Linked DNA regions of Astyanax mexicanus. The protein of the gene in region 1 purifies or fractionates together with the protein of each later gene. This does not show direct contact. Links are inferred from orthologs where the notes say so. Each region holds a gene or a part of one and is shown in the gene's direction. Other genes may lie near its edges. The genes, in order: sin3b, gatad1, suds3 and arid4b.

Evidence for each region.
Region 2: the proteins of sin3b (region 1) and gatad1 purify together in Homo sapiens (affinity purification with mass spectrometry; 5 studies listed by BioGRID and IntAct, with this or other methods). This does not show direct contact. The link is inferred for Astyanax mexicanus from reciprocal best matches to the Homo sapiens genes SIN3B and GATAD1.
Region 3: the proteins of sin3b (region 1) and suds3 purify together in Homo sapiens (affinity purification with mass spectrometry; 3 studies listed by BioGRID and IntAct, counting the BioPlex papers as one, with this or other methods). This does not show direct contact. The link is inferred for Astyanax mexicanus from reciprocal best matches to the Homo sapiens genes SIN3B and SUDS3.
Region 4: the proteins of sin3b (region 1) and arid4b purify together in Homo sapiens (affinity purification with mass spectrometry; 3 studies listed by BioGRID and IntAct, with this or other methods). This does not show direct contact. The link is inferred for Astyanax mexicanus from reciprocal best matches to the Homo sapiens genes SIN3B and ARID4B.

The regions. Positions count from the first base shown.
Region 1 is NC_064419.1:9,138,421-9,145,530, reverse strand, and holds the start of sin3b (paired amphipathic helix protein Sin3b), read left to right. Parts: upstream 1-4,109; 5' UTR 4,110-4,533; coding exon 4,534-4,659; intron 4,660-7,110.
Region 2 is NC_064410.1:50,880,610-50,887,678, forward strand, and holds the start of gatad1 (GATA zinc finger domain-containing protein 1), read left to right. Parts: upstream 1-4,061; 5' UTR 4,062-4,339; coding exon 4,340-4,519; intron 4,520-5,732; coding exon 5,733-5,855; intron 5,856-5,933; coding exon 5,934-5,993; intron 5,994-6,074; coding exon 6,075-6,258; intron 6,259-6,343; coding exon 6,344-6,531; 3' UTR 6,532-7,069. UniProt on the Homo sapiens protein: Component of some chromatin complex recruited to chromatin sites methylated 'Lys-4' of histone H3 (H3K4me), with a preference for trimethylated form (H3K4me3).
Region 3 is NC_064429.1:38,430,965-38,438,881, forward strand, and holds the start of suds3 (sin3 histone deacetylase corepressor complex component SDS3), read left to right. Parts: upstream 1-4,911; 5' UTR 4,912-5,045; coding exon 5,046-5,154; intron 5,155-7,170; coding exon 7,171-7,240; intron 7,241-7,917.
Region 4 is NC_064414.1:2,381,477-2,389,270, reverse strand, and holds the start of arid4b (AT-rich interactive domain-containing protein 4B), read left to right. Parts: upstream 1-4,790; 5' UTR 4,791-4,938; intron 4,939-7,794. Other genes in the region: ggps1 (geranylgeranyl pyrophosphate synthase), read right to left, coding at 570-640, 3,192-3,264. UniProt on the Homo sapiens protein: Acts as a transcriptional repressor. May function in the assembly and/or enzymatic activity of the Sin3A corepressor complex or in mediating interactions between the complex and other regulatory complexes.

The DNA.
Region 1 (7,110 bases):
ATATATATGGTCAAAACTTTCCTCCAATAAAATTAATTAAATAGAAATTAATAAAAACAACAGCAAACATCAAAAGACACCTGCTGGGCTAAATGTCCATTGGTTGTTCACATATTGGCAGCTTTAAAATGTTGAAAATATTTAATAATATTTTGTGCACGCACACACACACACACACACACACACACACATATATATATATATATATATATATATATATATATATATATATATATATATATATATATATATATACATACACTCACACACACTTCTCTGAGCCCCTGCTTTGTGTTCCTCTCTCTGATTGGAGTTGACCTTTGATCCCAGGCCCATTTGGGCTGTGAGCACAAGCCCGCTATGTTGCGTCTCCACTGGTCCCGCCTGCATGCTTCTTTGATGTTTAACTGTAAATACTTTAATTTATTTTTCATCTGGTGTAAAGGAATGAAGCTTAATTTATTGTACTAATTATTATTATTTAAGTCCATGTTGGGGGGGGTACTTTTATTTTGCTTTAGATGAGCAGTATTAAAGATAAATGGGTCGGATTTGGTGGGTCACTCTCCTGCACTCTATCTCTGTGTTCTGTAGTTGAGCTGTTTATCAGAATAAGACGATGATGTTGTGACTGTGGAACGTGTTTCTGATCACCTGTGACTTTTTCATCGTCATTAGCCACGCCCACTCCAACACCTGACGTATTGATATATACACCCCAGTATCTCATAAAAGAGTTAAATTTTAAATCATATTTTCATTATCAGAGTGTTGAAATCAATCAAGTTGAAATGCCCATACATGTTTATCACACCATGTGTACATGTGTATCACACCATGTGTACATTGTGTCACATGTAATATTATAATGCAGTCTCATAGTTAGATAGATATACTAAAAATAACCACTAGATTTAAAGAGACTGAACTAAGATATCACTAATGTCCTTTCCAGTTGATGTCCTTTTTAAGATAATTATTTGCTACACTTTAATAATGATAGCTTACCAAGTAAAATCATTTAAAATCTTGTGATATTATTCATTATGATATTGCTGTATTAAGATGTTTGAATATTATTCAAAACAATATTAAAGAAATCGGATTATTTATGTTGCAATACTTTGAACACTCTTATAATGAGAAGTATTACATACATTTACTAGTTACTCAAATTCCCCTGTAAGCAAATGCATAAAATATCAAATATTTTTACAAAATAAATACATTAAAATATTTGGGCTACAGTATATTGTGGTACGTCACATGTTGGTTTGGGCGATCAACAGCCAATGAGAATTAGAGTTGGTGAATATTAGACCAACATCCATTCAGTGCCGTGTCGAGTTCAGTGATGAAGTTAACCTTCCCAGCGGAGGGTGATTTTTTTGTACATGAAATTTTTTAAATACCTTCAACAATCCCCCAATAATCCCTGTATCCTGACATGACGCTGTTTTTTATCGTTCCGGAGGAATCGGAGTTATGTGTCGGTTTATCTGCCTGCTAAACCCATGATAATGTTGAAGTGCTCGATACTGTATCTCTGCATCTTTTTCTATCTTCTCGATGTTGTACCTTTTCTTAAATTTCCGACTGTGACGATGTTTGTAGTAAATAGACGACTGTACTTTTGAGTCCTAAGAGAAATCTAAAGTAGAAATTAGATAAACTATAGTGGTTCTGTGTTTGAAAAGATAAACAGAGAAAAACGTCTTACAGTTCCCTCTTTGCGGAGTAGTTTGTAAATGTTGGGTGTACTATTCTCTTCTATGATGGTTGTTCTGATGGTATCATTTGTATTTCTGTACACACTTTGGTGATCCTGTCATTACTTGGTTTTATAAACCACGCTTATTTTTAAATCCTGCATTATGTGTCTGCCTCTTTATTTAACCCTTCACCTGGACCAACATTCATACCACCTGAACCACCAGTTACACCACCTAAACTACCAGTCGCACCATCTGAACCAACAATCGCATCACCTGAACCACCAATCGCCCCACCTGTACCACCAATCGCACCAACTGAAACAAACAATTACACCACCTTAACTACCAATTGTATCACCTGATCAGCCACCAGAAGACACAAGTTATCTGGAAAGGCTTTACACTAGGTGGAACCACTAGTAACGCAACCTCAACCACCGGTCGCTCACCATTTGAACCACCAATTGCACCTTCTTAAGTACATTTTGCATTGCAACTGAAGATATGCAGAGAGCTATATATTTAAATATATGCTACATACTTTAAATATAGTGTATATGTTTATAAAATATGTTGAACAGATACATTCTTGGCTGTTGTTTTTTAATAAGACAGCCTTGAGCTAGCTGTATTTCTAGGCATTTGGAGCTGCTTCTGCCCCTCTACACCTGTATTCTCACAGGGAACATCACAGCTTGGTTTAGGAACAGCACCGAGTACCCAGCACAGACCTTTACAGAGGATGATATGTTCACTTGGATTGAGTTTCTTGACCTGCAGACCATCTACAGCAAGGGGTGCTGGACTAAGGTGAGGGAGAATGTGAAGGACCTCAGCCATCTCAACTATATGAATAATTAAAAAGGAAAAATAAAAAATGTCTTTTAAATAAGGAATTATTTACAGTGCCAGTTAAAAGTTAGGACATATTTTAAATTCAGTGTTTTTTCATTATTTTAAAATGCTCTGCATTGTAGATTAATAGTAAAGTCATCCAAACTATGGTATGGCCAAACCTGGTATGGCTTTGAGTTAACAGCTGTGCTTAACCTGTCAAGAGTTAATGTCTTGAATTTCTTGCCCTTTTAAAATGTTTGATATCAGTTGCGAAATTTAAAGAGGTAGAGATGGTATGGTATACGGTGAATAGCCGCTATTTGAGTAAAGTTCAAATCCATGTTATGGAAGTAAAGAGAACTATTTTAGGATTAATCAATCTGAAATATTTCAAGAACTTTAAAGGTATCCTCAAGTGCAGTCGCAAAGACAATCAAAAACGTTATGATGAAACTGACTCTCATCAGGACCACACCAGGAAGGGCAGAGCAAAAGTTACCTCTGTTGCACAGCACAGGATAATTTCATCAATGTTACTAGCCTCAGAATGCAGCCTAAATGCTTCACAGAATATGTTGGTTGTGCCATATAGTATTGTAAGCATTAATAGTGCCAACATTTTTGAATATCATGAATGATATTATACCCTGAAATATCGTGCAATATCACCCACCCCTAATAATCACTTTTTTACTGCTGTTTTTAGCAAAAGACAAATTCACACTGTTCTCATTTGCCATTATATTTCTACTAGAGACAGATTATATCTGTCCAGTATCATTTATTGTACTTTAATGCTGCATATATGGATATATTTGGAGTGCATTATTAGTATCATGACATTCTGGATTATTATTGACTTCTGTTACAAATCTGATAAATTTCTGTAATTTTTAATATCTCAGTTAGGGATGTGCCATATCATACTGTATGCAATAACAAAATTTAATTTTTATTTTGTTGCAGTAATGTATTCTTGAAATATTCTTTTTTTATTTAGTGTTTTGTCATATCGCCAAGAGTATGAAATATTGTGATCGTAGTATTTTTGGGCCATATCGCCCACCCCTAACGTGACTACAAGATTCCTCCTAGTTAAAAGAATAAAAAATGTAAAGTAACTTTTTGAAAAGTTTTAAGGTCAAATATTCAGATAATAATCCTAAAATTAAAGTGATTAAGCTGGAAAATATGATTTCTGTGTAGTATGAGGTTTTCTAATAGTAAAAAAAGACGTTTTTGAAGGGCAAAATGCACAGTATTCTGATAATAACACTACTTGAATACACCATGTATGGCAACAGTTAACTTTTTACATTTTGACCACCCATTTCCCTTTCCACTTTCACACAAAGACAATGTATATGCTTATATTAGTCACTAATAAACCGTCATACATCACTGTTATATCAGCCATAAACACTTTATTGATTAGTCTGTGGTGTTTTGTAGTGTGTATTGATCACTAATATTTATTGACACTTCTGAGAGGATAGCATTAGCATTTGAAACGACACCTTCACTCATCCGGGTACCGCCCGCCCCGCACGTCTGTAAGCCCCGCCCCACCGTGTAGGCGCATGCTCGGTGCGTTCTTCCACATTCGCTCCGCTGCCGCCGAATTTAAAGAGACAGGAGACAGTTTTTAAAAATAACATTTACAAACTGAAAATCCGGGAGTAGTCTTTCTCTTCTATGCTTTTTTAGTTCTTCAGCTCTCCCCCGCTTTCTCTGGACCTTTTCTGGTTAGTAAAGCCGTGCTTTAAACGCTGTAGTGGTTCCTCTCTTCAGTTTGAGCACAGCGGTCCGCTCTGCCGCTGCTGGCCGGGGTTGGAGGCACTCTGCGCGGTCTGAGCGGCGTGGGCGCTCCGCTGTCTGGAGCGCTTCCCTTCCCTGCTTGTTTTTTTCCCCTGCCCTGCTTGTTTTGTGGGCAGATACGGAGGGAGAACGTGTGTCTTCGTGTGTGTAGCTGTTGGGGACGATGGCGAAAATCCAGGCTCACAGCAGCACCAAGCAGATCAACCCAATAAACCAGGACAAGGCCTTTTTGAGCGCCCAGAAACAGCAGCAGCAGCAACAACAGCAGCAGCACTTCCAGAAACTAAAGGTAAGGAAAAACGGGGGTAAATGAAAGTAAGTGTAAGTCGATATAAAGTGGCGCGACCAGTTTTGAGTAGTGCTGTGTTATTTCTTTCTCTGAAGTTCTTGCCCATTCTTCAGTTTCTTGTGCGATTTTTCCCGTTCCACCTTAAGTGTAGTAGCAGTTACATTCTGGCGTCCGGGGGGCGCCAGAATAAAACTGCGGCAACATTTAAGGTGGAACGTACAAACTCGCAACTTCAGCTTCTTTTAGATTTTTTTCTTTCTTTTTTTATTCGTATTTGCTTAAGGCGTATATAATATACACATATAATCTATTGACCAGTTTTGAACATAGCTATTAAAAAATGTAGCTATATTTCGTACCATATAAAACGACCCCCTCGTTATAGTATATGTTTTTAGCTGGGTAATCTAAGTGCTGTAACGTTAGCATAGCATAGCTATCGCTAACGAACCTAGCTAGCAAAGCTAACCTAGGTTAGCAACCTCTTATTAGCTTGCCTCTCTTTGTCTTACTTTCCCAAAGCTAATGCTGTTTGCTTTGGCAGCTTCCAAAACAAAAAACAGCACTTATAAACCCAAAAGACTTTCCGAAAAACCTTTACTTTAACTTAAATACAGTTTAATCTCATTTAAAAAGAGCTTCCAGATCCTTCTCAGTTGAGTTAGCCGGTTAGCCACTTGCTGAGTTGCAGTGCTTTTGTGGGGATGCGCCTTGCTAAAAGCACAATAAAACCAAATTCTGTTGAATTTAATGCAAAATTCACTGTAACGATTTGTTTTAATTGACACTTGAGTTATAAAGTTGCTGGAGACCCTGAGAACTGAAGAAGCTGAAAGGGTTTATCTCGTATGAAGGTTCTTCAGTGCCAGAACTGGTGGTATTGTTTTCCTGATATATCCATCAGATTTCTCAGGGTGTTTGATTTGTGAGCTGATTTATTCTTGTTTAACGTTAGTTTAGACTAACCGAGATATGTTAAAATTAGGACTATTTTGTGCCACAGTTTATATATGGTGCTAATATAAAAAAGCTGCTGCAAGGAAATTAACAAGAAACTTGAACCTAGCTTGAAGCACCTTGTACAAACACAATACACCATATTTTGGTGCATTTAACTTTTCAACTCAACATGAGAACTGAAAAAGCTGTCTTGTATAAGAAAGGTTCTTTGGTGCTAGAACCGGTGGTATTGTTTTCCATCATAATTTTCAGGGTGTTGAGCTGTGAGCTGAATTATTATTCTCTAATGTCAATTTACCCTTATTTTGGTTAGGTTAGGCATAAATGCTGTAGCTGCTGCAAACAAGTAAACAAACGTATACATACATACATACATACACACATACAAACAAAGCAAGCACCTTATGGTTTTGATCTTTTTTATATGTCTATAGAGCTCTGGAAAAAATAGGAGACCACTTTAGTTTCTGAATATGTTTCTCTGATTTTGCTACTTATAGGTATATGTTTGAGTAAAATGACCATTGTTGTTTTATTCTACAAACTATTGACAACATTTCTCCCACAAATATTATTATTTAGAGCATTTACTTGCAGATAATGAGAAATGGCTGAAAAAAAAGGTGCAGAGCCTTTTAGACCTCAAATTGTGCAAAGAAAACAAGTTCATATTCTGAAAGTTTTATGAGTTCAGAAATCAATATTTGGTGGAATAACCCTGGTTTTTAATCACAATTTTCATGCATCTTGGCACGTTCTCCATCAGTCTTACACACTGATTTTGGATAATCTTTTGCCACTCCTGGTACAAAAATTCAAGTAATTCAACTTGATTTGATTGCTTGTGATCTTCCTCTTGATTTTATTCCAGAGGTTTTCAATTTGGTAAAATCAAAGAAACTCGTTATTTATATGTTGTCTCTTATTTTCTTCTCAGAGCTGTATATCAGCTGTCTGGCAGATGGGTTTTACCACATGAAATATCAATATGATTAAAGATTTACTGTTTCTCTGTCCATATCTTTTTACTTTTCTGTGTAGAGCTGATTAATATGACAATTTATCTTATTGAATCATAATACATTTTTTATTGTATTAAAACATGTTATAATAAGTATACCGAGGATAACACTGACCTAAATGTATTTTTCATTAAATACATTGTAAACACTTTTTCTCCATATCTGCATAATGTTTATTCTACCTTATCTACTCAATTGCACAACACTTTCAAACTTGTATGTATATGTATACTACTTTGCGCTTCTGGATAGATGCTAACTGTGTTTCATTGGCTTATTTTATCTCTTATTTTACCCAGAGTATTAATTAACATGTAAAATGTAGGTTCCAGGTCCCTCACAGTAGCAGAAAACAATACATACAAATAGAAATATAGAATTTCACACAAATTACACCAGGTGGGCACCAGGTTACTAATGACAGGGTTGTGGGCTAGTAGGGTATGATTTTGTCTCATGATCTTTTATG
Region 2 (7,069 bases), on another chromosome or scaffold:
CAAAACCCCTCAAAATACATGCAAATAGTAGGAATAACATTAGGTTCAGTATCTTCTAAAGATGCACAGAATATTTGGCAACCAAAAATATTTGTCAACAATATTCAGCTGAATATTGCACTTTTGGTATTTGGACAATAAGTGAAAAGGGTGAGTAATTCAAACTAAACTGTGACTTATGTATTTTACGCTGTTTCAGATCACAATTATTAATATATTTTACTATTTCTTTCAGCAGCTGCACTTTACTGGATTCAACTGTTAGCTAAAAACTGACAGGAGGGCTCCCTATAGCCATAGGTTAATATGTCCATAGTTAATGGTCATTGGCCATACACTACAAGTGATTATGTGATGGTGATTGAAAACACTGGAGTATTCCTTTAAACTAGGGGTGGCAAACATACAGCACACAGTTCTAAACCGGAACAATACTGAAAAAAAATTAAATCACATTATCTCATTGTAATTCATTAGATCAGCTAAAAACAGTCTTCATAAATCACACATTGACACTGATCTATAGACATAAACAGGGACAGAGCAAGTTCACAGCAAAACCAACCAGAATCTCAATTTTACTGACACTTCACTAAGATAGGACCTGATGTTCTTCAGAAATGTTAGCTAGCACAGTTAGAGCACTGTTGGACCTGCAGGGTTTGATCACTGTTCATGAACTGCTTTATTGGGACCTGTTATAATACTAAAGCTCTAAAAGAGGCAGCAAGTAGAGCTGATTTTGTCAGTCAGCCACTATTTCACAAAATGACCTAATGCTCTATAATAATTAATAATCACGTATAACCATCAGTACTAAACGGAAAAAAAAAGTACGAAAAAAATGCAGTGTCAGGTTTCGATTAAAATCATTCCGAGTTCACGTTGGACATGACATTAGTTTGCCACCCCTACCACAGGGGAAAAAGAAGTGTATACACTATATGTACAAATGTTTTGGGACACCTTTGTTTCTTATGAAATCATGGGTAAATGAAAATAATATACCCTGCTTTCTACTAGAGTTTGTAGATTGCTGTGAGGATTTGATTGCTTTCTGCATTATCCACAACTTATTCCAAAAGTATTGGATGGAGTATGATTATTTCAGGCACATCTGGAATTAGGCATAGTGCCAGTAGGTTCATGTTCATTGGTCCTATTGGCAATACTTTACTATTGAGGACTAGACAAGCTGTGTGTGTGCAGTTGTACATCTGTGTCAGCTAGTAGCTAAATGCATTCAGTAAAAGGGGTGTCCACAAACATGTGGATTTATAGTGTAACAGAAATATGATATTTGTGTGTGAAAAGGAGAGTGCTAAGAAGCTCTAAATCGTATGATGAAAAATGTGGTTCTTTCTGGGTTCTTGTTTAACCTGTAGAGGAACCACAAAGATGAGGTTACAAAAACAAACCCATTTACCTGTGTGAATAGAAAGTGAGTTATACTACTCTTTTATTTATTTCTTTTTCAAAAAGAGAAAAATGTGCTAATGCACACTGAAAGATTTAAAAAGAAGTTTTAAAAATTAAAAAATGCAGTTTGCTTTATCAAGTACTGCAGTGATCTCAGTCCACAGGCTGACCCATGACCCCACCATCAGTCTCGCTTGCTTGCTTCATGCACTTGCACACAAACCTGTTGCACTTTGTTAAAAGAGACAGGTTTGCTTCAAATGACTTGAAGCCACTTCTTGACCAGTGCTTCAGGGCATCCCGGTGATGACATTGTGCCTACTTTTGCTATGAGCTGGGTATATACCCAAACTCATCATCCCCTGGTTGAAATGGTTGACTGCTTGACATTATTAAGCATTGGATTATTCTAGAAAGTCTGTAATATCTGGTGCACAGCTGGAGCCTTTTCCAATCGTGTCACCAGGGGTCACTAAAGCTCAAGAAGAAAGGTTGGGTGTAGGGATTTGGAGACTGAAGTTTGCTTTTCCTCTAAACACGCTCATTCAGTTCTATCATTCAGTGTGCCTTTTATGCCCTTCCCCTATATTGTCTGTGTGTTGCCACATTTAAGTTAACCTCTTATAGTGAAGATTTCATTCACTTAATGAAAAAAGTGATTAAAAGAGACTGCATTTTTTGTTACTCACTTTTACAATCAAAGCATTTTGCGGGAACATTTTGTATTTCCATGGGCCAACCATGTGTTAAATCATTGCTTAGATTTCTTTTACACTGGATTGAGTCCTGTGTTAGTTGGAATGTATACTCTGAAATGGGGAGTGAGAGGATTGAAAACCAGAGTTGCAATGTGTGTCTGACTAAATTGTCATTTAAAAATTACGTTGTGTTTTACTGTGATTAATTTCAGTGCCCTGGGTTGAATTAATTGTAATAGATTACAGACATTTTGCCTGGAAGAGTTATGAGTGTTTTCCTTCATTTTCATGATTCAGACCTCATTCAAGCTGTTCCTGTACATGGAAGTAGTCCATGTGATTTGATTGTTCTGAACAGACCACCACATGGACATTATTAACTACAAAGTACAATTTTTTCAAAGTAAAAACAAAATGTTTGTTTGGAAGACAGGAAGCAAACTTTTCCTGATGTGGTGTGGTGCTCACTTCACCATTTAAAAGTCTCTTTTAGGTATAAAACCATGGGTGTTGAGAAGTAAGATACCATAAGGCTAATCTCAGGTTCAGTGTGGGCCTATAAACCACAAGCATCACTATTTAATTACAATTTACCTATTAACTTGACCTGACCTTCAGTTTTCTAGCATATCAACCTTTATTAATAGAAAATAATAAAAATGAATCAAATAGTGTTTCAAAACTTGGCACTAGTGCTTTGATTGCACAATTATTGACTTAAGGCTTGGTGATGGCTTGAAACACTTTAACAGGATAGGGAAAAGTGCTTAAATTTTTTTAAAGTTTGCATTTATTAGATGACTGAAAGCTCGGGAGTTGATATGTACGAGGATGATGTGTACGTGTACTTTGGTACGCAATCAAAAATACCGCCCCCCCCTGCTGACATTCAACCATCTGGGTCTCACCACTATCAGAAGCACACTGCTCAGCCCAATCAGCTCTCTCTTCTTGCCCCACCCCTAAAACCCATACATCACCCAGTGCCCCTCCCAAACTGTCATTCCCATGTTTTAGCCTTTTTTAAATTTGAGCGGAGGGTGGAGTCAGCAAAAATCAGGGGGTTTAGTTTCCCTTTAAGCTAATGATGGTTAGCCTGGATTTTGCATATTTACCACTATGACACCGACAGGAATTTTAAATTGTGTTTACTTTTTGTTACAATAGACTAGGGGTGGGCAATTAATTTAACCAAGGGGCCACTTTTGTAACCAAGGGACTATTTTGTAGGGCTGGGCCTACTGATTGATCTCTATTTTGCTCAATGTTCATTTTATCTCTTTTTAAAAATCCAGTAATTATATGGTTTTCATAACACATTACTAATAAGATCTTACACTTAGGCGATAAAAATGTAAAGGCATAGTAAAAAAAAGTATATTATATAATTATTTAATTATGAAAGTGAAACACTAAAAGTGTTTTAGTAAAAGAACAACAATAAATTCAAAATATTCTTGCTATATTTTCCGTTCAGTTTCTGAGGTGGATTTGTAAAGGGCTGGATATACGGATTGTTGAAAACAAGAAGAAAAAATAATTTTGGTTAATCATATGTATAGAAAAATATCAGTTATGGAAAACTAGAACAGACTAGAATGACAATAGATCAAACTTTTGAATCAAGTAATATTGTTTTTAATCAAAGTATGAGAGAACGGAAGAGAAGAGGGACTTAGGACAAAAAAACAAAGCCAAAAGATTGGACTTTGTGAATTTTAAAAATGTAAAATTGTTACTGTTATAATATTTTGTAGGTAATGTTGTTGTGTTTTTTGTAATTGTAAAAAAAATCTAAACTTTTTTTTTCTAAATAAATTCTTTAAAAAATAGAAACGCAAAGGGGCAGATAATCTAATGCCCAGGTCTGCATTGAGTTAGTAAAGGGGCTTTTATTTTGAAGACGCCGTTGAACTCGGCCGGAAGAGGTAGCTCAGTTTGAGGACAAGGGGGGCTTTTATTCTGTAGATAATGGAGGACAGGGTTTGTTGTTGCAGTTCATTGTTACTAAAATTATTATTTGCAGGGTTTAGACATTTTCTATTAATTTAGGAATAAAGTCTACAGACTGGGAGTGTTTTGTGTATTATTTAGCAGCGTTTAATTGCGCTGAGGAGCAAACAGCTAGCGTTAACTAGCTATATCTATCTTTAATACGTACTGTGCGGCGGTGAGACCTGAGAGCAGTAGGTTAACGTTAGCTAGGCGGGTACAGAGGGAAGATGCCGCTGGGAGTGAAGCCGAGCTGCGCGGTCTGCAAAACCAACTCCTCTTCTATGTGGAAAAAAGGAAACCAGGGAGAAATCCTGTGTAATAACTGCACTTCTAAAAGCAGTGTTGCTGGAGGACCCGGGCTCTCCGTCTCTTCCACCACTCAGCAGAATAATGGCGGAGGAAAACAGGTTTCATTACACTTCTGTTTTTATTGATTTCTATGTTTCTAACCTAGGTTAGCTAGCAGCAGTATTTCTCGCAAATGGCTACAGATTTCTAAAGTGCTTCTAAAAGCAGCCTGAGCCAATAAGCGTAAGTTACTTGTTCCAAAAATCTACACTGTCAATTGGCTCTTGCAAATGCATGTAAATCATTCGATTCAAAATAGTAAGAATATCATTTAAAAGTTACTTTACTTTAGTAATTCAGTTAAAAACTTATGTTATATAGATGTATTACTCACACAGTGTTCTACTTTAAGCAGTTATTTATTTCATTGTTGATGTTTATGGCTTACAACCAGTGAAAACTCAAAAATCAGTGTCTCTTTATGTATAATATTATATAAGACTTGGCAGTGTGCCAAGTCCTGCTGAAAAATGAAAACCGCCTCTCCATAAAAGTTGTCACCAGAGGGAAGCATGAAGTGCTGTAAGATTTTCTGTGAAAACACTGCACTGACTTTGGACTGGATATAACACCAGTGGACGAACAGTGCACCAACTCCAGCAGATGACACGGCTCTCCAAACCATCATTGATCAGCAGTAAATTTTGCATTTAATTTAGAAATTAAGGGACCAGAGTCTGGAGGAAGAGTGGAGAGATACAGTCCAAGCTGCTTGAGGTCTAGTGTAAAGTTTCTACAATCAAGCAAGACTTTCACGTAAGCCATAATCATCAACAATAAAAGAAACAAATGCTTAAAATGCTTTTTTTTTGAGATGCACTAGTATATTGTTATGGCCCCCAAAATAATATCACAATATTTCACTGTATTTTTGAGACAATATGACAAAATATTATAAATATGTAATATTTTTAAAAATACGTTTTAAGAATTTGTACTGCAGCAAAACATATGTTTTATTCAGTTTAAATATAAGAGTTTCAAACTGCACACAAACAATTAAAAGTAAAAAAATTGTATAGTGGAATGTAATTTTGTGCATCAACATTTTTATGTGGATACTCCCCTCTGTGTATCAACCATTTAAACTTCTCCATTTGCTCAGTCGATGTTTTTTCAAAAGATTTACCCGAGTAATGTGTGAAAAAATAGTACAGAATTACATTTATAGGTAAATAACATTTAAATCACTTTCTGAACATCTCAAATGCATATAATCAGAGAATTTGTACTTTATAACAGCACTAACATGTTGATTCTGTTTCCTTCTAGTCTAAGCAAGAGATCCACAGAAGATCAGCACGACTGAGAAGTACTAAGTACAAGGCACCTGCATCTGAGAAGAAAGTCTCAACTAAGGGAAAAGGAAGGCGGCACATTTTTAAACTAAAGAATGTAAGTTCTATCCATGAACTTCATATATTATGCTTAAGTAAAGCAGAGTGAGTAATATATTTTTTTTCCCTCCCTCAGCCTATCAAAGCTCCAGAGTCTGTATCCACAATTATTACGTCAGAGTCAATCTTCTACAAGGTTTGACTTTCTAATCGACTTTTAAATGGAATTTCAGAAGCGACAGTTTTTCCCCAATTCACTTTCTTCCCTTTTCTCCAGGGTGTTTATTATCAAATAGGAGATGTAATAAAGGTAACAGATGAAGAGGACGGTAAACCGTATTTTGCACAGATTCGTGGGTTTGTTCAGGACCAGTACTGTGAAAAGAGTGCCGCACTAACCTGGCTAATCCCCACTCAGTCTAGTCCAAGAGATCAGTTTGATCCAGGCTCTTACATTGTTGGTAAGTTAATGTTGTATTCTCATTTTAGCAATTGATTCTTTTTGTAGCATTTTAAACATGACTAAGCAAGTATTTACCTTCTCAGGTCCAGAAGAGGACTTACCAAGGAAAATGGAGTATCTTGAATTTGTCTGCCATGCTCCATCAGAATACTTTAAGTCAAGGAGTTGTCCTTTTCCAACAATACCCATTCGCCCAGAGAAAGGCTACATATGGACCCATATTGGACCTACACCTGCTGTTACAGTCAAGGAAACAGTTAGCTGCAGTTAACTGTTTTGTTCAGCCTTGTAACCTGAGACCAATATTCAAATACGGAATAGAAGAAAAGATTAATCAACGATTCGCAACCAGGCAAAATGATGGACATTTTTACGATCATCGTGAATTGAGTGTGAATTTCCACACCACTGCCAGAAACGAATGCTAACAACTCTACTCTGCTATACAACAAAGCAGATGTCCAGTTGCTTGGTACTGTAAAATGACAGTAGAGAGTGGAACCCTGTTGTCTCTGGGGACAGAAGACTTGATACTTAATTGAAGTATTAAACAGTTGGAACAGTATCTCTGTGCAGACTATCTTGATGAAAACAATAATTTGTAAATATTGTAATGGACATATGTTTGTTAACAAAAATAATAAAAAATATGAATAAAATATAATGTGTCTGAGATCAGTGAATGATCTGTTAATAGTAAGGTTATCATTTTTGTGGAAAAAAAGTATTGGGACACCTGTAACTTTATGTACTGTAAAAATTTGATTGCATTTATGCACAAGAGCATTGGTGAGGTCAGAAAGTTTGAT
Region 3 (7,917 bases), on another chromosome or scaffold:
AGATCTTCAGAACCAAAGATGAGAATTAATCGAACAAAAATGTTCTAACAAAGCAACAAATAATGTAAGAATATAGTATGAACATAAACAGCCAAATATACGTATTTAAATATATATACATATATATAATTATAACCCGCTTGTATAAACACCTCATTGTATTGGACATAGATGTGCAGTGTAACATAATATTAAAAGATAAATAGATAACTATGTAAGTAAGTAAATAAATAAATAAATAAACAAATAAATAGGTTATTGTACGGAAATTTGTAATAAGTAAAAAATAGTTTGTTGCCTCTTTGTATATTTGTTTGTTTTATTTCTATTTAAACATTTCTGTGTAATGAGTAAGAGTTTTTGATGTTTATTGCACAGAAAGACAGAAGTACAGAATTACCATAATAAAAAAAAATCAATTTCTCTGATTTTACTATTTATAGGTTTATATTTGAGTAAAATGAACATTGTTGTTTTATTCTATAAACTACAGACAACATTTCTCCCAAATTACAAATAAAAATATTCTCATTTAGAGCATTTATTTACAGAAAATGAGAAATGACTGAAATAACAAAAAAGATGCAGAGCTTTCAGACCTCAAATAATGCAAAGAAAACAAGTTCATATTCATAAAGTTTTAAGAGTTCAGAAATAATCAATATTTGGTGGAATAATCCAATAATAGTTTTTAATCACAGTTTTTTCATGCATCTTGGCATCATGTTCTCCTCCACCAGTCTTACATATTGCTTTTAATTAACTTTATAACTAGTGCAGCTTGTTCTGCCTTTTTTAAGTGCTCTCTTTTTTTGCTGTATATATATATATATGTATTATTATTGTTATTTTAAATGTAGGTCAGCGCATGTGCAGAGTGTCTTTAGGAAGCGTAAATCGACGGGCAGCACGACTCGACGCAACACCGGTAACCTCCCGCGCGCCAGAACACGGACAGGTGCTTGTGCACGAGCGTGCACACCTGCTCTCAATCACCTTAAATAACCGAAATAAGTGGAATAAGTGAAATAACTCGGATATTAGCTCTATTTTAGTGCTTTTTCACCCAATAAACAACTCTAACTCTGTATATATATTTATACACACAGCTCTAAATGCGTTAATTTCCGCGCAGCACAAAGTTCAGTAAACACTGACCTGCTGTCCTTCTGCTCGAGTTTAGATCTTAGAATAATCCAGATCTTCTCCACTCCTTCCTGATCTTCTTCTCCAGCAGAAAAGCTGCAAAACTCCCGAGTTTGCGCTGATTTAGCGCGTTTTTCAGCTTCTTTCCTCTTCTGCTTATTTCCGCGCACACGGAAATAACATTACAGCTGCTGGTTACTTAGTTTCTTCAGTTGTAGCGCGCGCCAATAAAACTGCAACATATTAAAGAAAACCGCCTGTTTAATATCATATTATAAATTTATCGACTAAATAAAACTTTAAAAAGTGCGCAAACCTTATAACCAGGCTTGGGCATGATCCAGAAGACGCGAAAAAAAATGTCCTAAATGTCCTGAAAAGTGAAACGTGACGTCCGGTGTGCCGTCCAATTGTGCTACCCTGCCAAAACCTGCTACTCCTACTCCAAACTGGTATAAACAAGATACTTCTACTTCTAAGAAAAGTCTACTCATTCGGATGAAATAATATTTTTTTTTTTGCACCAGGAGTAAAGCGGCATAAAGTTATCCAAAAGCAGTGTGTAAGACTGGTGGAGGAGAACATGATGCCAAGATGCATGAAATAAAAACTGTGATTAAAAACCAGGGTTATTCCACCAAATATTGATTATTTCTGAACTCTTAAAACTTTATGAATATGAACTTGTTTTCTTTGCATAATTCGAGGTTTTTCTTTCAAATGAAAAATGTAGAAATAATATATATATTGTTTATTAGTACAGTGATACAGAATAATGAATGTAGTTTTTGGATGGTTAAATGGTATAAATCTTTACTTCCTGTTGTTATAGGGAAGACTTTGTACTTCAGAGGAAAACAAAACTGACCCCGTAAAGACCAATACTATACTTTACAATTATAAAAAGTTTACATTTAAGTACAATGCAGTACTTATATAGCACTTCTGTTTATCTAGGCTATTTAAAAAAGGTAAAACACTTAGGAAAAGCAATGTATATCTATAAATCATGCTGTGTGCTAGATCAGGGTATCGTTATACTAAAGGTATTATATGTTAGATTAGTTTGAAATTAATTAATGTAATAATAATGATAATTATTATTATAATTAATAATGATAAACTGTCTTTAATACATTAACACCCGCAATAAATCAATCAATTAATCAATCTATTAAATATTGGAAACAAGACACAACAATAGCTATATAGCTATATAGCTGTATTTTACGTTTTTCACAAAAACATAACGTGAAAACATATGCATGCGCATGGGCACTACAGCCAAAAAGCACATATCGCCCGGTAATGCATTTCGGCACAACACCTAAGGCGAGTTCGTGCTGGTTTCCAGAGCAGCTAATCGATCGCAGATCCACTCAAACATCAAACATGACGCTGATAGTAAAAAGCGTAAAAGCGTAACGATTGATAGTAAAGCGAAAAACACTGCGAATTCTCGCACGACAGCGCGCGCCACCGACACGCCATCAGCGAAAACATCGCAAACTCGCGTGACATCACGACATAACGTAGATTTTCTCTTACCTGTCAGAGATATCGTATCCTTTGTCCGCGCAGTAAAGCGCAACTCCATCCAGATAAAGTCTCTCAGCGCAGGGAGAAAACGCGTCCCCCGAAAACAACGCGCACAAAACCTTGTCTTTCACGTTCACACGATATAAAAAACACAGCAGAAGCATCAGAGACTAACACTCTAAAATCCCTCTGAAAGCCCAGGAGCTGGCAGCGCGCGCACAACGCGCACAAAAAAACGCGTAAACCGTGAAAAAAGTCGTCATCACAAATAACGTCGTTGGATTAAACGCGTAAAAACGTAAAAACACACGCTGAGCGTCTGACAGCTGAGCGCGGAGATCCGCCTCCTCTAACCGGCAGCAGCGCGGAGCCCTGCCGGCCCTCGGTGTCCTGGTCCCGGGGTCGCCGCCGAGCCGCTGCGGAGCGGAGCAGAACCGAGCCGAGCTTCAGTTACACGCTTTAAAATTTAACCTGCTGCAGGTGATCATCCCGCACTCACGCGCAGACACGCAGACCGGGCTCTGAACCGAGGAAACGCCGCCACCTGCCGGCCGAGAGAGGAACTGCAGCCGCTACAATAACAAAACACACACACAGTTATACACAGAGAGAAATGATGACATAATTATGAGGACGGGATTATAATCTGATGTAATGTGAAAAAGTCCAGACTGCTCAGATTAATTAACACAGATTAAGGAAATTTAATTATGGAATTTGTTTCTTCCAGTACTTGTTTTCTTAACGTAATTCCAACCCTCTGTATGCTCTGGACATATGCAATATTGACAATAAAACTACTTGACTTGAGTTAACAGGCTCAGATTTTTGTCAATTATCTGCCTGATAATACACACCTATGTCTTGAAGATTTCTATTTAAGCATTACATAAAAACTTTTCATGTTTAATAAGTAAAATGAATCAAATTATAAATGTAATTGTAACAGAAAATATTTAAAAAACAAAAAGTAAGTAAATCTGCAACGTAAAAATATAATGAATGAAATAATAAAATTGGCTCTTTCCTGAACTTCATTGTAAAATCAGTATTTTTCGAAAAAACAAAAAAACAAAAAAAACAGTTAATGTTTCCAAACCTTTAGTTTCGTTTTGTTCGTCTTGTTTTAATGTCTTTATTTTTAAACCTGCAGAATTTGGGTTTGATTCCTGATTGATTGTTACTGATTTGGAATGGTTTTTTTTTTGCACACATCAAACTACATTTCCCATAATCCTCATAGTCAGATTTCTTTATTTTTTATTAAATCTTCCTCTAAATATATTTGTTATTTTGCTTTTGGAACAGAAATGTCAATTTCTGCCATTTCTGCACTGATAATAATATAAATAATGTAAATTGTAAATAATGATCTTCTTCTTATTACTAATATTATCATTAATTGTAATATTATAACTTATTAAATAAGAACAACTGTAATCTTAATAAAGAAACTACATTGTTTGTTATAGTTTCTGTTTTAAAAACAAACCCATTTAGAATTCAGTTTATGTATCAAATGCGTGTAAAAATGTATTTGGCTCATAATCACAGTGTGTAAAAATACAGTACATGTTCATCCAACACATTTTTTTTGTTGTGTTTTGTTTTGCACACGACAAACTACATTTCCCTTAATCATCATAGGTGAATTTATTTTTTTTAATTAAATATTTCTCTAAATATATATTTTAATTTTTTGCTTTTGTAATACAAAAGGCAACACACATTGCATGTTCATCCAACACATTTTAAATACTTTTTTTTTTTGATAATTGTTGTTGTTTTTTTATTTCACACGTCAAAATACATTTCCCATAATCCTCATAGGCGGATTTCTTTTATTATTATTATTACTATTATTACTATTATTATTATTATTATTATTATTATTATTATTATTAATAATAATAATAATAATAATAATAATAATAATAATAATAATAATAATAATAATAATAAATATTTCTCTAAATATTCTGCACTGATAGTAAATAAAGGTATTTTTGTTTATGTTTTAAAGACAAACCCATTTAGAATGCGGTTTATGTAACAAATGCATGTAAAACGTATTTAAATTTTTTTTCCTATATTCTCAGCGAGTAAATGTACAGTATATGTTCTTCCAACGCATTTTTAAATTATATTTTAAATAATTGTTGTTGTATTTTTTTGCACACGTCAAACTACATTTCCCATAATGCTCATAGGCGCATGTAGGCCAATCAGATTTCCCCGCCTTCCAGCTACACGCTTTTGGACGCGGAGAGGAAGAAAATAATCGCGGGTCTGAACAGATTCTGTGTTTATTCTGTTTATCTGTATATTTATATTTATATTTAGTGAGTTTGTGCAGCAGCATGGCCACGCTGCTCTCTCCTGTGGTGGATTATTATAATGATGAAGAGGAGCTGGACAGTATGGATGAGGAGGAAGATCGGAGTTTCAGAGGGAGAGACTCGGAGGAAGGTATACAGACCCATATTTACATATAAATATACAGATTTAACATTAAATAAAACTGTATTTTCTGTTAAAATCTGCTTAGTTTAAGTGTTAAACTGTATAAAGTGAATTATAATCAGCGCGGTGTCTGAGTCTGGCTCTGTTCCGCTGCTGTCTGCAGGCTGTGAGAGCTGGGCTGCGGGACTTTTATTTTGTTAAGAGAAAAAAAATAATATTCAGTTTATCACTTTAGTTATATTTATTTTATAGCTAATTTTACATTTTCTTATATGAATTAAATATTTAACTTCGTTTAAAAAGCCTTATATACAAGTATTGATACACTAGAGCTTTTATATTCTGGTAAATGAATTCCTTGTGTTTAATTTGAGAGGACTTATTTTATTTTTTGAACCCCTTACTAGCTTAGCGTTAGCTTAGCTTTAGCTTAACGTTAGCCTAGCGATTAGCTTTTAAAGCTATCATCAATTTTATGTTTATAAACAAGTTTTAAAAGACGAATTTCACCACAAACAACGTTAACGTGCATTTAGACTTATTGTTAAACATTCAAATTAAATTATATCAGACTGGAAAATATAAAATAGAGCACATAAGACAGAATTACACGCTTTGTTTTGGCATTCCTTTAGCTAGCTTGTTTGCTAGTTAGCAAGATAACGCTATGTTGTTAGCTTGTTAGCTTTATTTAATATAGCTAAAAACGAATTAAGACGTTATATGTTTAAGTTAGATAACGAAGAAAGAACATTTGCCTATATAGAAAGGCAGAATTAAATATAAATTTAATAGTTATTTGTCTGTTAAAAGCAAGACATGTTATTGCTACGACGAAAATGTTGAAGTTAGCTAACGCTAGTTAGCTTAGCTAGCTAACACTTACTAGCTACTACACGGTTTAAGTTAGTCAGATATATGTTAGCCACACAGCTAACTACCAAACACGGCTTTAATAACCTAACCTAGCTATTTAGCTATTAGTTATCTAACTAACTGGGGACGCTAGCTGGTGTTAGATACGTTAAAATGTGTTAAATTACGTTAAAATCTGTAAATCGTAGCTGTTTTTGTCAATATAAAATATCCCTTATATAAATATATCATAGAATACATAAATTATACTTTATTCTTGATAATTGAATGGGTTAGCTAACTAATTTACTATCTATATAATCTGTTATTTATCTAACCTAGATAATTAGTTAGTTAGGTTAGATACATGCAGCAATTATACACACCTTAAATTTTTTTTTTCATTATTTTAAAAGTTCTGCATTGTAGATTAATACTAAACTCATCCAAACTATGAAGAAAAAGAAATAGAATTATTTAGTAAACAAAAAAAGTGTTAAACAAACCAGAATATGTTTTATATTTTACATGACACGTTTTGAACATCTCTGCTGGATTTTCTCAGTCAGTTTTATGAGGTAGAGTCTCCTGGAATTCTGGCTTTCAGTTAACAGCTGTGCTGAACTCATCAAGAGTTAATTACTTGAATTTCTTGTCTCTTAATGTAAAGTTTGAGAGCATCAGTTAAAGTAAAGTAGTGAAGAGGTAGAGTTACAGGTATACAGTGAATAGTGAATATTTGAGTAATGTTCTAATCCAGATTATGCGAAGAAACAACTACTCAACTAAGAGAAGAAAACATTACTTTAAGAAAAAATGAAGGTCAGTCAATTTTTAAGTGCAGTCGCGAAAAAGACCATCAAAAACGTTATAATGATGGAACTGGCAATCATCAGGACCAGCTCAGGAAAGGATAGAAGAGCGAGAGTTTCCTCTGTTGTACAGGATGAGTTTATCAGAGTTTCCAGCCTCAGAAACCACAAGTTAACAAACAGCTCCCCAGATAAGAGTATCTAAATACTTCACAGAGTAAATTTGTTTTCTTTTTAGTACTTTTAAAAAAAACTAAAATGTCATTGAGAAACAATACATGCAAACAAAATATAAGTGCTTAACATGTTTAGTTATTTATTTGTAATTGTTCTAATATGTTAAACTTTGTTTCAGACACTGAAGACGCCAGTGAAACAGATTTGGCGAAACACGATGAAGACGATTATGTGGAAATTAAGGAACAGTGAGTATACACACTTGTCATATATACAGTTAATTTTATTATATGCTGAGCTAGTCTGGATTTCAACAATCACATTTTATCTAGGGCTGGGTAATATAAGGGTAATTTATTTGCGCTAAATGATGAATTGACAAGATAAATAAATATAAAAAACTTACTGTGTATCTAACACATTTAAAGTGGATATTATACCAGTTTTTTATTTTATTTTAGTAGGTCTATGTTCTTTACAAAACATGTTCATAAAGTTCTTTACACAAAATCATTCTAACATAAAGATAAAGATCTCACAGATCTATTCTTACCAGTTTCAGCCCCTTTTAGAATGAGCCGTTTAAGAGCTCTGACATTTCTATGCAAATAAGCTGTTGCTGGACACGCCCCTTGTTTACACTGATCCTTTTAATACTGGGCTTGCATTAACGTTGGTGTTGGCTTGTGCTAAACGCCATAGTGTAATGTGAGGCAAGTTTAATTAATTACAATTTACTTAATATCCCAATACTTTACTTTTTTACATGACATATCTACGAGATGCAGATTATGTGTGCTGAATATTTATTTTTTCACTCCAAAATTATATACACAGTGGGAATATAACCCTAACTCTCTGTTAGGGATTAATATGATTTAGTTTATAATAATTTCAGTTGATAAATATTCAGTGTATCCCTTGT
Region 4 (7,794 bases), on another chromosome or scaffold:
TAATGAAGGAATGATGAGGTAAACGGAGATAAACAGACAGATAAGGTCAGACCGGGTTCGGGTCGGCCTGTAAATTTGTTGCATTATCCCAGAGCCTCCCCCCCAGCACAGGGTTAATCTTTACCATTTTATTTAGGCAAGTCACAATCCAATCTGTTTTAAACAATCAAATATTGTCCATTTTCGGCCTGACGCACTTTTATAATATTTTGCTTTTCTGTCTAATGCAATACGAAGCTTCAATTAAGTAAAGACAAAATTGTATATGCAATTAACATAAAGCAGAATCTTATTTTAGAAAATGTTAATTTTTCTTAAAAAATAAATAAATAAATAAAATTGCCTTAATAAAGACCCCAAACTTTTGTGCAAAAGACTTTAAATTGTAAATAAGTGAAATAAATTACACTAAACTAAACAACAACCTGACTTTTGTGTCCAAAAAAAAAAAGTCACACAATCTTTGTAAAAATGTCCTAAAAATAGTACAGTCTCATCATTCTCATTTCAAAATGTCTACAATAACATGTACATTTCTGAAGAGATTTCCAAAAAATACAAGTGCTTACCTGCAGTTTATCCTCGGGGACGTTGAGCCAGTGGTTAAAAGCCTGAGACAGTTTAGTCCGTACTTGTTTTCCTGATCAAACAGAAAGAGAAGAGAAAAAAAATCAATTTTTTTTTTTTTTTTTTTTTTTTTTTTAAACATACTGACCACTGTAACTAGTAGGGCTGTGCCATATCATATCGTACGTAATAATATCTGCAATACCCACCCCTCATTATCACACCAGGGTATTACTTTTTACTGTTTTTAACAAAAGAAAAATTCGCACTGTTCTCATTTCCCATTATTTATCTACTAGAGACAGATTATATCTGTCCAGTATCATTTATTTTGCTTTAATCCGGGAAATATGGAGATATTTGGAGTGCATTATTACTATTATTATCATGACTTTCTGGATCATTGACTTTCACTGTCACAAATCTGATAAAATTCTTGTATTTTTTAAAATCTCAGTTAGGGGCGTGCCATATTATATCGTATTAAAGAAACCAATTTAATTTTCATTTTGTTGCAGTAGTATAGTCTTGAAATATTTTTAATTTTTTATATTTTAATTCAGTGTTGTCATATCCCCAAGAGTATTGTTACCGCGGGAAAAAAAAAAAAAAAAAAACATGAAATATTGTGATATTATTTTAGGGCCATATCGCCCACCCCTAGTAACATGTATAAAACACACAATCATATTTCATTTTTATCCATTCAGAATAATCTATTGTTTTTACAAACGATACAGTATACACAATATAAAACTGTGGTACTTTAATATATTGATATTTTTGATATTGCACTGAGCAATATGGGATGGGGAGAGCCATCCGACTCAGCAGTGGACAGGCTGAGGTATCACCCAAGATCAAAGCAGAGCTTTTAAATAAAAGAACAGTCTGTTAGTAATATAGTAGTTTTGCAGCAGAAGGGTGGGTGAGAAGCACTTCCTGTACCCTGGCTGTAAGTCTGTACTCCCTCTGTGGCACAGAGTCACATCTCAGGCTTGAGATTTTGTGCTGACCTCAGTTAAGGTCATCCCACCGAACGGCCTCCTCACAAACGTCAAAAATCAACTCAGACCTCCCAACATGTAGCTACACATTTAGCGTAACAGGCACACATTTTATCTCCTAGTACACTTGTACAGTATAGACATGGTACACATTTCCTTCATGCTCTAAATGTTGCTAATCCAACAAAGTACTCGAGCCGTCCTCTATATTCATCCACTTCATTTTTTTCTCCAAACTGTAGAAAGTGATGCTGTGTCTCTTCACTCTCTCTCTTTCTTTCTCTATCTCTATCTCACTTCCTTTTTCTAAGGTAGATTAGAATATACAGCTACACTTTATTTACTTTACTTGCTTCATTATTTTTCCCAGTTAAAACTCAATAACTCAACACATTCTAAATATTCACACTTAAAAAGCATTAAAATATTAATTGTGGATTTTTGTATTAATCATTTAATTAAAAAGTAACTATGCTTTTTTTTTAAAGCAAATAGAAACAGTGTTAAATTTCCTTTTAAGCCCATTAAACAATGGGAATCATTACAGATACTTAATCCTATATACTAAAATCCTATATAGAAGAAGATATAAGAAATGCATTATCAAAATAATGCTCTATAATTGTTTTACATTTGCCATCATAGACTCTGAATCATAATCCAATTTAATCCAATAGAATCATAAAGTGCCTTAAGATTTCCACCCCTACTTTATGTGCCTTTTCCCCATAAACAAAAATGAAGACTGTATAGTGATCTGTACTTTATCAAACACGCCATCATCTGAAACTCTAAACCCAAATTTCCAGAGCCCACACTCAAACACCTGATCTGTCAGATCACAGATCAAAGTTCAGTCATTCATCTGAACTGAACACCAACAGTGATCATAACCAGAACAGAACCACCGCCTCGCTCTACACACCAATTCCACACCAACACTCGAGGAACACAAAAGCCTGAGGCAGCACAGCTCTGCTAATAATAGCGGCATGCCCGCACCGCTCCGAGGGCACTGTGCTGACTTCCTGTCTGACTGATGGCCTGTTCTCTCTGGAGGCGCCGTCGCACATCACTTACTCACAGTAAAGAGCTCGTCACCCCAAGCACCTCAAACACTGCGGCATCACCAACCGGGGCTAACCTGGACTCAGACAGCAACAGAACCAGGGCTGGGTATGGAAATTTAATACCAAAAAGGCCCAGACCGAAATATCTCCGAAAGACATAAAATACATGAATTTATAAATAAATAAATGTGTGCTGATAGATGTGTTTCTGATACTTTGCATTTAACGCATATAAACATGCCAAACACAGAGAGCACACAAACAGCACAACACAAATAAACAGGTTGAAGCTCTCTAAAGTCTAGCTGTATCTTTTAAAGATTCATCCATACTATTTTAATTCATTTTTAAAGTGTGTGAGTGTCATATAGTACTGCATGAACAACTGATTTAATAACCAAATTAGGTTATGCTTCAAAATACATCACAATATATTAAGAACATTTAAGTTTACTTTTTATTCAAACAAAACAGTGGGAGCTAATAAACAATTTATTAATGCACTATAACTAAACCCAGTGATGGTGTAGGTTCTGGAGGTTCTGACCTGGTAGCTGCAGTAAGTAATTGTACGGCTCCAGCAGGATCCGCTCGGTCGCTGCTCCCTCCAGACCATCCATCCCCCTCTGCCCGCACAGATCACCAAACCCTGCAACAGAGAAATGAACAGCAAACTGTTTAAACCACTCAAAACCCAGACTTCACCACCCTGCTGCTTTTCACACAATGAAAAACAAACATTTTAGGACACTAAGCCTTGTTACATTTACAGAGAGAGCACAATCTCTATAACTCTATAATTATTTATTCATGAATTTGGTGAGCTGCCCAATACAGGTTTGTTATCATTCTGAAATATGAATGCATGCCATTTCAGTTAGCTTGAAGTGTACATGGTTTCAGTTTTGTTTTTACTTTCTGAACAGAAATGGTTCAAGTTTAGTTTTCATGCAGTCTCAGAACTATTAACCACTTTTCAAAATGGCCATAAAATGCCATGTTCAGCCTATTTTGAAGACCCTCTGTTTTTTTCTGTATTTTTTTTTAAACACACTGTACCCTGGTTGTTGATGGCTCATGTGAACGTAGATATTAGGTTACAAAAGGGTCTAGGATTGTTTTTACTATTTGGCACAAAATTAAACAAGCTCTTTTTGAATATATATTTTGATAATTAAAAAAACTGAAAATCACCCATTTTTATTTCAGTTTCACACAAATCTTCATATCATATCTTAATCACAATTTTCATGCATCTTGGCATCATGTTCTCCTCCACCAGTCTTACACGCTGCTTTTGATAACTTTATGCCACTCCTGGTTCCGCTTGGTTTGACGGCTTGTGATCATCTTCCTGATTATATTCCAGATGTTTTTAATTTGGCAAAATCATATATAACGTTATATATATATATTTTTTTTCGTGTTCCGGTTTACTGGCGGTAATGACAGTAGCTAATAATGTGAGCACGTGCGCCACCCACCTTCCAGACCGGGGATGAGTAATCCGGGTATTTCCGCTATCGATTTTTTTGTCCCCTCTTCGAGCTAACGTTAGTTAGCAGGTTAGCCCGTGACGGATCCGTTTTCCTCGGTTAATCACGAGTCACGGATCTCCTGATCACAGTCACTACCGGTGTCCTCTTCACGGTGATCGGCCATATCAATATCCGCGGAATCCGCGCTTTACCGGGAGAGCGCAGGGCTGCGCGCGCTCGACACTCCGTGGCTGTGAATCCTCCTCGCTCTCCGCGGGGTATAAATACACCATGGCACCCGGAGAGCGCGAGCGCGTTGGAGTGGGCGGAGACAGACGCCCGTTTTTTTTTTTCCATCGCGTTCGAGACTTGTGGGAAATGTAGTCCATTTGATTTACGTAGCTCGTGTAGTCAGTAAAAATGTGCGGCGTGGAGAGCGCGAATGGGTCTCAAAAAAACTACAATTCCCATCAACCCGCTGGCTTTTTTTTCTTGGCGATAAACAAATGCCGTTTTTTAGAGGACGCGTTTCCCAATCAAATCGAAGAGGCGGGCACGGACACAGATTTAAACCAATGAGAGATGGCGACAGCGGCAGGGGGCGGGTTTGTGTACCTGTCAGTCAATGACAGAAGGGTAGGCGATCGCTACAGAGAAAAGAGCCCGACTGGTGAGACATTTCGTCGGATTCGCTTCCCGACACGGACCCCGGGTTTGCGGGCAACCTTTGGACGATAATCGTCGAGGATTGTTGCATGTTTTCCAATGGATTAACGCATAACGGCAGAGGGAAACTTGTTTAATCGCATTCGCAAGGTAAGAGCGAGTCTTTTAGCGGATTGTTCGGCAAAAAAATCACGGGTTAACGTTATGCTACCGCGAGCATCCATATTAGATTAAAAACAGTCTTTTCTTTTTCCTGAAGCTGTTGGTGGAAATGCTGTCCGATTTAACCTAGTTAACTATGCGCTGATTAAGATTAACTACATCAAGATATCCAGATTACAGATCGTACACGTAGCTAAAGCTATAGCTAGTTAATAACGTTAGACTTGACTGCTCGATCGGACGGAGGAGGGCTTGCTAACCTTGCGTGCTGGTCGGACTGCGAGGCGAGTGGGGGGTTGCCAGGTAAACAGCATCGAAATAGTGCATAGAATAGTACTTCGTGCCTCTTTGGTCGCATTTACACAGCGAGTAAAGTGTCACAAAAAAGCAGATATTTCTTTTCTTTGTGACCTAACGCTAGGTTATATCCGACATTCATTAGAACAGTTCACACTTCCAGCCTAATAGTGATCTAAACTGATGCGATTGCCATTGCCAGATATGTATCGGATTTCAATACCACGTAATAATAATAACTTTAAAAGTGAGTGGGAAGAGGGTATCATTCCGTCATATTCAGGGAGTTGTTGCTGTTCACCTAGATAGCACATCTGTGTCACTTAACGCCAACTACCCAGCTGGCACCACAACCGACCTTCAACGTTTAAATGTGGTTGACATATGATTGAAGTAATGTCTGTTGTTGTTTCAACGTTGAAACCACATTTAATGTTAAATAGTTGAATGTTGAATCAACATAATGTCCTCAACCTTCTGCCTATTGAATCAGCATTTTACAGTTCGTCGCCATACAAGAGGGATGCAAAAGTGGTTTTATTTCCATTTGCAGTAACTGCTTTTTTAATTTGGCACAAATTCTTCACCATACCTGGGGGAATGTTCATGTTCTATTAGTTTTACTCTTTTAGTGTTTTTGAGATCAGATGTTGAATCAGATTGGTAGTGGTGGTGGGTAACATTCTTTATACTCAGCTTTCCTACAGTGATGTAAGTTAAGTTTGTGGTTAACACTCTGTTAACCATAGGAGTTTCTACTTTTAGTTAACTACGATTTATAAAAGGTTGAACGTAAACGTTGAAACAAGTTAACGTCGCCATATAAGCGTTGATTTACTTTTCGAAATCAACACCAAATACAACGTTGATTCAACGTTGAATACCAGCTGGGTAACTTAGCATTATGATGAAGAACATCAGATTTGGGCCACTTTTTAAGACCTAACCCAGCTAACATAACGTTAGCTGTTAGGTTAACTTATTACATTCTGTGTCAACGTCTCCTTATGTTTATTTAAGACCAGGATATTGGAACTTGTGGTAGATATATAACGTTATATATGTGCTAGTCTTATTAATGCCAGTTAATTTAGTAACTAGCTAACCTACAATTCCTAAAATTAGCTAGTAAACGTTGTTCCAACCCTGAAGAAGAAGAACAACAACACTGCTGCTGCTCGGCATCAAATAACCTATAGCTAACTGATCGGGGAAAGCAGTGAGTGCCTCCCTCGCTGGACAGACCCTTATGTAAGGCTTTGTGCGGCGCATCGCGGTTTTAAAAGCCTGTTTTCTGTGTTTACCAGTGGTCAGAATACATGGAAATTGCTGGTAACAGCAGCGTTAGGTTAGCTGGTGGTACTGAGGATGAACTCTCTCCTATCTTCTGGTTAATTAGCGAGAGAGAGTTAATCTAGCTAAAAAATAAAGAAAGACTCGCTATACACCTATCACCACTTTCATTAATCGAATCATTGGTCGCTAGTTTAGCTAATCTACTGTTCTAATGTAGTTTAAACGTTTTGTTTCGCCTGTATTTCCAGACAGTTCGATATTTAGCTGCCCTAACCTCTAGCTAACTACTTCTGCTCCAGTCTGAACAGCAGCAGTCTCTCTCAGAAAGAGCAGAAATGGCTGGCGGGCTCCGATCCGCTCAGCTCTTATTAGAAAGCTTTCGCATCCAGATAACCCAGCTAACCTAACTCTAACAGCGACGATAAGATTAGTCCAGGCAGTGGTCGACTGATGTTGCTCTGTTGCTCTATATCTGGACTATCTTTCTCTCTTTATTATCGTTTTCTAAACCGAGACTGAACTCGACGGTTATTGGCTGAGGTGACTGTTGTTGTTGTGCTGGAAACAGACACAGCCTGTGGGAAACTGTAGTTAGCTAGTTAAATAACAAGTGTTTTGGGAAGCTGTTTTCCTTTTTGTTATGTAATGTTTAATTTGCTTCAAATAATAGCAATTGCAATTTACAGAAAAAAAGCCAATTAATCAATCTCACCAAACAAACCAAAAAAATGTGTTGGTAGCTAGCTACCACACCAAAGAGAATAAGCACCAGTGATATAAGCACTAAAATATTAACTATAGGAAATAGAAGTATAAGAAATAAAGTCAGATTTAAATATTGGAAAGCTTCAGTTTGGCCTGTTTTTCAGTTAATTCTGTGTTAAGTTTGTTAAGCTAGTTAGCTTACACTTTAGCTAGGTCAACTAACCTATGTTTTATTGGTTTCAAAGTAATTGCAATTTGCAGGAAAATAGCACATTAATCCACCTCAACAAACAAACAAACAAAACATTTGTTGTTGTAGTAGAGTTGGTAGATATCACCCTAAATTAATATCACAATATTTTAAGGTATTTTCACGATAACACACTACATTGAATTTTAAAAAATATATTAATAAAAGAATAGACTATTGCTACCGAATTAAATTTTAATTTTATTATTGCATACGATATGATATGGCACACCCCTAAAAGAGATATTACAAAATAACAGAAGTTTTATCAGATTTGTAACAGAAGTCAATGATCC